2 linked regions of the Daphnia pulex genome follow. The protein of the gene in region 1 binds, or shares a complex with, the protein of each later gene. Links are inferred from orthologs where the notes say so. Each region holds a gene or a part of one and is shown on either strand. Other genes may lie near its edges.

Region 1 (4,540 bases):
AGTTGTGTCAACTCTTTAGGGAGAAAAAAAAATGCGTCAAATTAAAGAAGACAAATTTTTTGAAGGGCAGAAAATTTTATTCATTCAACAAAACCACGCTTCCAATTACAAAAGATGCAACAATGCAACTTGATAGAAGCGACGGTTGAAGGAACTGTTTTTGGGCGACTTACCTCGTACTTTATCTGGAAAAATCTTGATTCAGGATAGCAATCCAATATGAAGAATTTGAACTATGAAATTTGAAATTAACGTAGTATGATCTCACTATTCCTTGTTTACAAGAGTCGACCGGCATTTTAGGCCAAATACATAAACCCCTGTACGAAGGAGCGGCCGATGCATCGATTGCCTAAGCCGCCATTGGGATATGCTTCAAGAAAGCGAAAATGCCAAGCGAACTGCCACGCCACTAGTGACAAAATTTCGAAGCTTTTTGTTTTATTTAATGTATCGATAGTAACGCGGGAAACTTAACTATCGATATACACTCGTAGAATTGTTTTTGATGGGAAAAATGAAACGCGTGTATTTTTGTGAGGGCGAGAGTTCGATGCGGTTTGCACACCTTACAGCAAAAAAAAGGATAAGACGAAAAATGTTCATTTAAAAATCCCCTCTCAACATTGAATACAGTGAATCACTCGATGCCATAAATTTTCAGCGTACGATCCATACTCACAGACGCTATCGACTGCGCATGGTTGCCGAAACGGACTCCCATAGCCAATGCTGTATGGTCGTTAAAAGTCTTAAGAGTTTCCCATTGCTTGCAGAGATAAACACGCACGTCGGTACCAGCCACAGCAAGGTAGGTGCCGCTTTGATCGAAGCACAAGTCCTTAACTTCGTATCCTTCGTCGAGCTGAATTGTTTTAAAATTCTTCAATTTCCGTAAATCCCACAATTTGACGCAAGAGTCTTCTGCCGCTGTAGCCAAATAGTAACCATTTTCTGAAAATGACAAAGCCGCAATAGGACCGGAATGACCTGTAATTGTAAAAATGGTAATAGTAAAGCTAATGTTTATCACAAGATTATTTTAAAAGAGCCAAACCTGGAAAGTTGGCCACGTTAGATTGTTCTTTTAAATCCCAAATTTTGATCTGTGAATCTTGTGTTCCAGTGCCGAAAATGAGACCATCTGGATGGAACTGGGCTGTCGTAAGCGGATTTCCGTCTGTGTCGGCAACCTTTGTCAACAACCGCCCAACGCGAATGTCTGAAAATGCCCAGTGTTGATCCAGTGACGTCGACAAAACATATTCTCCGGTTGCGTGGAGCGACAAGCCTGTGACAGGGCCATCATGAGCACGGATGATGGCAGATTGTGAGGAGCCGGTTATATTCCAAACACGAATCGTCGCATCAGGAGATGCTGTTATCGCGACTTCCTATAACAGATTCAAGGGGTATATTAGTATCATATAACAAAGTAAATCAAGAGAAAATTAAAAGAAAACATGAAATTACCTCTTCTGGATGATAAAGCACCTTGGTAACTTTTTTTGTATGTCCCTTGAGAACAGCAACAACCTGCTCAGTGTCCTTGTTAAAAACTGTAGCGCATCGATCGTTACCTCCAGTCAAAATATGAGAAGTATCGGCGGCGTGAACGTCCATGGTCAAAATTCCGGGCATACTTGCACTGTGCAAAGCCTATATGTAATCAATCCATGAAGATGGGATAACATTTCAAAATTATATGTCATTACCGGATGAGATGCCAAAGTTTTATATCCCTTCAAAGCTTCTGCTGTAGCTAAGCCTTCGGGCATGGTTTTGCCTCTACGTTTTCGTTCTTGAGTAAGAACAGTGGCTTTATCTTGTAATTGTGATATGATTTCCGGAGTTAATCCAGCTGCCTCGATCGGTTGTGCTGCCACACCACCCGCTTCAGCCTTACATCAAATCAGTAAATTTATCATAAATAACATACAAATAAATATCATAATGCTTTCTTACTGAGGCAGCAACAGATGGTGTAGATACAGCAGCATAGCCAGTCTGGGGCTTAAGAGTTGCAAGTGCTTCCCGTGCTGTAGACACTTCCTTGTGGAGGCGTGCAATAACACGACAAGCAGCATCATGTTGGTAGAGAGCATGACTACAAATAGAAAGAGAATGTTTGCACAATAATTCCATGTGTAATTAAGTTGGTCAATACCTCAATTCTTGTCGAGCAGTTTGTAATTGTTGCCTCAAAGTAAAGGAATTTAACATGACAGCATCCCATTCATCTTGTAAAGACTTAAGCACGGCGGGAATGCTTGTTGCAGATGGCACTTTAGGCTTAACAATTGGGGGGGCTAGAAACAAAATTTCAATTACATGTAAATTCATTGTGGAACTTTGATAAAAAATTTCTTACTTTTGATTTCAATAAGTTGATCTACAGTTATTTCTTTCCCATTGATGGGATCTACCCCGTTATCAGCAATGTACTTTTCAATCAGCCGACGTTCAAACACAGATCCTGACACCGGTGAGACCACAGGATGTTCGGGAACTTCGTTCGACACTATATAAGCAAGAGATATAAGACATTAAATATCAAATTTCTCAGAAGAATGGATTGGTTTTAAATTGATATTTATAATGAAAATGTAATATTACGAGAACAACAGAGGGCCATGATGAAGCGTGTAACCTTTTTTTATATACTTTTCACAAAAATGTGCGACAAGCCAAGATGCATATGTTCGCTTCGCTTAGGGCTAAACAGTTGCTAGACTACACTATTCAATAAAGCGCTTCATTCCTCAGTGCGAGTTTTCTTTTCTTTTCAAAATCCAATCATTTTTTTAAGACTCAGAAATTTTTTTATTGGAATGTGTAAAAGAAACAGCATAGTTTTTTATAAGTAATAATTTCATAATTTAAGTTTCAAGTTTTCAACTAGAAAAAGTGTCCAGGCAACGGTGCAAACTGACTGAAATGCCGGGCCAGCCATTTCCCCCATTTCTCAACTGAAGAAGCCAACCCAAGCGCAGTGCGAACACTCCTCGAAAATTTGAAAGATTCGTTTACTGTTATATTCAATTTAAACTGAACAATGGCCTCTCAACAAAAATTCCCTGGAAAAGAAGGTGGTGATAATTCGAATGAACAAGGGTAAGAAATTTTTTCCATTTATAATATGACATGTGAAGTTCATGGGAGAATGTAAATCCATGACGCCGTACACTAAGCTTTTCATGATTTGCGTCCATTTACTATTTTTTGGTACGAATCTTGTTTTTTTAGTAAAATGTTCATCGGAGGTTTAAGCTGGGAAACGACGCGCGATAATTTGCTTCGATATTTCAGTCAGTATGGTGAAGTTGTTGACTGTGTGGTAATGAAGAACCCAGAAACTGGTAGATCGAGAGGGTTTGGGTTCATTACATTTGCTGATCCTAACAATGTTGGTTTAGTACTACAAAACACACCCCATATACTCGATAATCGCACAGTAAGTTTTTATATTTTCTTCATACTCTTATTTGCACTACCTGAGCGGTGATAGAATGTTTAACATAATTTTATCTCCTTTCGCGGTATTGCTACATAGAAGTGGAAGGAATTGAAGTTTATATCTCAACTTGAGATATATATTTGATTTCTTTCTACATTTTTGGTTGTTTTTTATGATCTCATATTTTTATGTTTATGCAGATTGACCCCAAACCTTGTAATCCACGTGCCGAAATGGTACGCGCTCCTCGCCGGAGTATGGGTACAGGAAATGGTTACAAAGTATTTTTAGGTGGGCTTCCATCAAACTTGACAGAAACAGATCTTCGTAACTTCTTCTCGCAGTACGGAAAGGTCTCTGAAGTCGTTATCATGTACGACCAAGAAAAGAAAAAATCTCGAGGTGAGTCACTTTCCTCAATTAGTGGGTATTAAAGTTAATTAAAACAGCGTAAATAAACTATGAACGTCCTTACATAACGTATGACGCAAGTGTAAGTGGTTATATTCCGAAGATTCGATGGATTCCTTTTTTGATAACTTTGCTAACTTTAATAGTGTGGTTATTTTATTCCTATAGGTAAGCAAATGGCTAAGTTCCTATCCACGTTTACTTCTACTGCTCATGTGAAAGAGTTTCCGCGAATTACAGTAGATAATATGCCATTAAGGAACTTGGGAGGGTGGATTTACAAGTTTTACATCTGACTAAATATTGGCATACCCATTGGGTTGAGTCAATATTTCTTTCATAATCACAACTCTAGTTTTTAACGATGTATTAGATTTATTTCTCTTCAAGTATTAGAATCCGGTATCAATCTCATCAGATCTACAGTCAAAAGTTATGGTTGAAAAATAATTTAGTCAGGCCTGTCCCAAGATTTCTTCTAATGATTATTAATGAGATCAAAGAAAGATGTAAAGAAAAGTGGTATAAAAAAAGTGTAATAAGCAATTTGGAAAACCTTGGGACAGGCTTTGGCTTTTTGACCTTTGAATCGGAGGAGTCGGTGGATCGCTGCACTGGTGAACACTATGTTTCAATCAATGGAAAGCAGGTATTCTATCATCAAAACAACAA
Region 2 (3,809 bases), on another chromosome or scaffold:
AATGTCGTTTTGTTAAATCAAGGACTGTTTTTAACGTGGCTACTGCTGGCGTCTGCCTTATCAGATCCCAGCCCGGAACCGTTTAATCCGAATTATAATAGGTTTCGACAAAAGATTCCTCGAATCGGCCGACGAGGTGAAGGAATCATCGCTGAATACATGAATTCAGAATCTTTTCCTCACGAAGGAAGTCTCTCTAATTTTTTTCTGAAGGCATCAAAGGCGGTTCCTCGTTTGGGTAGGCGCAAGGATATTTCCACGGAGGTGTGTAGTCCACAGTAGACGTAAAAAATCAGATAATTATTTCTAAACTTAAAAAAAAATATATATATCTTTCGAAGTCTGGTCGGGCGGCAATGGTTGGGGAGGAACCTTTTGGCCGTATATCCAATGAAATTCCCATTATGAATCAGAAGCAAGATTTGTGGCCTAATATGAATATTAGTAAATATCTTTTTTCATTCAAATACCTTACAGTGTCTAAAAAATGTCAAACTTGGGAATTTCCTGTAAACATACCAATTATTTTACTTGTTTAGATGAACTAACAGGCGCATTAAATAAAGAATTGAATTATCCGGGACCGCGGATACCCAAAGACCTGCAAGACAATTACATCCAAGATTTGATTCATAGCTGGATCAATCAATATGAAAATCTCAACGAAAATTAAAGGACCCATGACGTTAATGTTTTTCTTTTGTTTTTTTGTTTTTTTCCGGGAGGGAAGAGGGTTGGAATATACTGTAGTCCAATCAATTTGTTTGTTTATATTTTTCATGAGCACAAGACATTGGTCATTAAACAATGTAGTTAAAAAAAAGCTTCTTTTATTCATGTGTTACAATAGTTCTCCACAGGCGGACATAATGACTTTGTCAGTCGGTTTACCAGACTTTGTTCCGTACTTCTCCACTTTACGTAAAACATCTAGGCCGGCAAGAAGTTGACCAAATACGACGTGCTTGTTATCCAACCTTTGAAAACATAAAGGTGCTATTAGCATTATAACTATGATATTTTAACAGGGAAAAAACCTACCATTCTGCTTTGTCAAGGGTTAGAAAAAATTGGGATCCATTTGAATTTGGGCCTGAATTCGCCATAGACAGAATACCAGGACCGTTGTGCTTCAACGTAAAATTTTCGTCTTCGAATTTCCCGTTTCCACCGAAAATTGATCGACCACCGGTTCCATCACCGTTAGTAAAATCACCACCTTGACACATCTTTTGCAAAAGAACGTTAATAAAAATAAATATTGATTAAAACTGAGCTTTCCGCTTACAAATCCTGGAATAATACGATGAAAACTGGAATTCATGAATCCATAACCTTTTTCATGAGTGCAGAGAGCAAGAAAATTTTCAGATGTTTTAGGGGCGACATCAGCTCTCAATAAAATAATTATTCTGCCCAAATTGATTTTTCCAGCTTTAAGATCCATGTACACTTGAGGGTTGCCGCGAGGCTTTTTAGAAACTGCTGACTTAGTTTCAGATTCAGAAACATTGTCTTTCCCTTCAGTTGATTCCTTATTGTTTTCCTCCACTGGATTTTTATTTTCTTCTGTCTTTCCAGCATATTTTTGCAACCAAGAATCCTCTGACCAAACTGGTCTAGAATATCCTTCCTTAATTTTCCGAGGTCTTGCAATGTTTACAGTAATTGTTTTGCCAAACAACTCAGAATCATTCTGAAAGAAAGGCATCCATGATGGCAAGTAATTAAATATTTGTTTACTAGATAAACTGTAAGAAATTGTGAGAATACCATGTTATCAATTGCGGCAGCAGCATCTTCAGCTAGTTCATACTCAATAAAAGAGAAACCTCTATGTTTTTCATGATTTTCATAATCTGGAGGTATTTCTATATTAACAATTTCTCCGAAAGGAATAAAGGCTGCACGCACTACTGATTCATCTGCCTCATCAGGAAGGCCACCTGTTAAAATGAATCACAGTAAGCATTACATTTCGTAAGACTGAAATATGTTATTTGATCTTACCGACATAGATGTTTCGCTTGGCATTGTTAGATGACATGTTGCGGCACAAATTTGAATGCACCACAAGAAAGATTATCAAGAATCGAGGTTACGTGTTCAAAAACTTTACGTAAAGTATTGAAATTCTCAATGTTCAAAGCATCCCCATAAGCTAATGAGTAATATATAAATATCACTGTCTAAACCTTCCTTATTATTATGCACAGTGAGGACAATAATAAAATACCGATTCACAGGTTGCAGACTAATCAAACTGAAAACTGGCGTGGGCAAACAGTCAAACACGTTCGTCAGAGTGCAGAGACTGCAGACAGCATGTTTCGCTTCGTTATACGATCAGTAGAGCTAGAACCAAAGTGGCTGTTCCGCTTTTTAGCGACTTTTTGGAGATTTTTCCAAATTCAAATAGCCCATCAGATTATTTTATTTGAATCAAAATAAATTCAAATAAACGCAAAATAAAAAGGCTACTCCAAAACTAGTAAACTTGTTGCTTCTTCGCTGCTACTTTAAGGTATCTGATGGGAGGATCGCGGAATTTTTTTAAAATTGAGACTAAAGCACTAAACCAAAAATTTAAGAAAAATTTAACGGACATCGACGTGAATCTGACTGTTGGTTTTGCCAGTGATATAGGAAAAATATACATCTCTCTGGTATATAATAACTACAACAAGGAATTGGATCTAATAAATCCATTGACATTAACCCGCGGATTTTATCTCAAAATATATAATATTTGGGCCGATTTTCTTTAACGACAAAAGAGATCGCATAAATTTTAGAGGTAGATCTTAATAACGCGCACTTCTTTTTCGTTGACGTCTGGTTGTCTCAAATGCAAGTTCCGCATTTATTTTCAAATCTTTCTCTTTGTGATGAATAGCGTTTCAGTTATTCAATTAAAACCGAACCTGTTTTTTCACACTTCCGTTAAGGGATAGTGTACCTGCGTACGAATAACGGTTTTCTTTTTAATTAATTTGGAAAGTTAAGGGCTTAAGGCTAGGCTATCATAGAAAATGATTTATGTCAAGTAAAAAAATTATTTAGACGTATCTACTGCTACGTCTCTACTCTCTAGGCTTGGGGGAAGGCAACGTCCTTTTTAATGCATTAGGGAGTGCTGGATAGCATTTAGTATAAAAAGAGCTGTCAAGCGACAAGCATTAGTTCGTTCACTTCGTGGGCATAGCGCCTCTAGTGGCGTGCATTTTGCCCTAGGATCCAAAAGATGTACTAGAAATCAAGCACTTCCTGGTGCGTAAAGGGCTACATCTCAAACCATACATATGAAAGCGGACTAGCCACTTCGGATTCAACCCACCCGTCCCTATTCCTGTCACTGTCAACTCATAGTCGTCTGATCACTCTGATGTAAACAAAATGTGTAAAGTGTAAACTCAGTAAGATTTGAAGTCAAGTGTAAGCAGCCGTAAATTTCATTTTAACCAATTGTTTCATCTCTATTCGAAAAGAAAACCGCCGTGAGTTTATTGAAAAACTGTGAGAATATGAATGTGGTATAAAGTTGTGGTGTTAAATTAAATATATTTCCATTATAAAAAAACATGGGACGAACATCTAGAATCCGAAACAGGTTGGTTCGAATTGTGCATTCTCGCCCACTTCGGATTGATTCACATTCAGAATTCGTTGAACTTTGTAAATGGATGAGTGCGAATGGTTGGAATGCTGTGTCAAAAAATTGTTTAGTTACAAAGCCAGCTCTGTTTAATAGCACTGGACGAGGTCTCATGGCTATGTCTAACATAGCTCCTAACCATCTGCTAGTCCAG

The links.
Region 2: pre-mRNA-processing factor 19-like (region 1) and peptidyl-prolyl cis-trans isomerase E-like share a complex: the UniProt entries of both Homo sapiens proteins name them as parts of the XAB2 complex. The link is inferred for Daphnia pulex from reciprocal best matches to the Homo sapiens genes PRPF19 and PPIE.

Annotation. Positions count from the first base shown.
Region 1 is NC_060022.1:3,393,658-3,398,197, reverse strand, and holds pre-mRNA-processing factor 19-like, read right to left. Parts: upstream 2,749-4,540; 5' UTR 2,636-2,748; coding exon 2,617-2,635; intron 2,522-2,616; coding exon 2,372-2,521; intron 2,310-2,371; coding exon 2,168-2,309; intron 2,108-2,167; coding exon 1,966-2,107; intron 1,902-1,965; coding exon 1,716-1,901; intron 1,660-1,715; coding exon 1,474-1,659; intron 1,395-1,473; coding exon 1,058-1,394; intron 991-1,057; coding exon 641-990; 3' UTR 503-640; downstream 1-502. Other genes in the region: heterogeneous nuclear ribonucleoprotein 27C-like, read left to right, coding at 3,056-3,114, 3,247-3,454, 3,658-3,859, 4,435-4,517. UniProt on the Homo sapiens protein: Ubiquitin-protein ligase which is a core component of several complexes mainly involved pre-mRNA splicing and DNA repair. Required for pre-mRNA splicing as component of the spliceosome.
Region 2 is NC_060020.1:8,629,476-8,633,284, reverse strand, and holds peptidyl-prolyl cis-trans isomerase E-like, read right to left. Parts: upstream 2,347-3,809; 5' UTR 2,048-2,346; coding exon 2,011-2,047; intron 1,947-2,010; coding exon 1,774-1,946; intron 1,697-1,773; coding exon 1,289-1,696; intron 1,230-1,288; coding exon 1,042-1,229; intron 978-1,041; coding exon 842-977; 3' UTR 756-841; downstream 1-755. Other genes in the region: uncharacterized protein LOC124191929, read left to right, coding at 23-264, 342-444, 540-673. UniProt on the Homo sapiens protein: Involved in pre-mRNA splicing as component of the spliceosome. Combines RNA-binding and PPIase activities.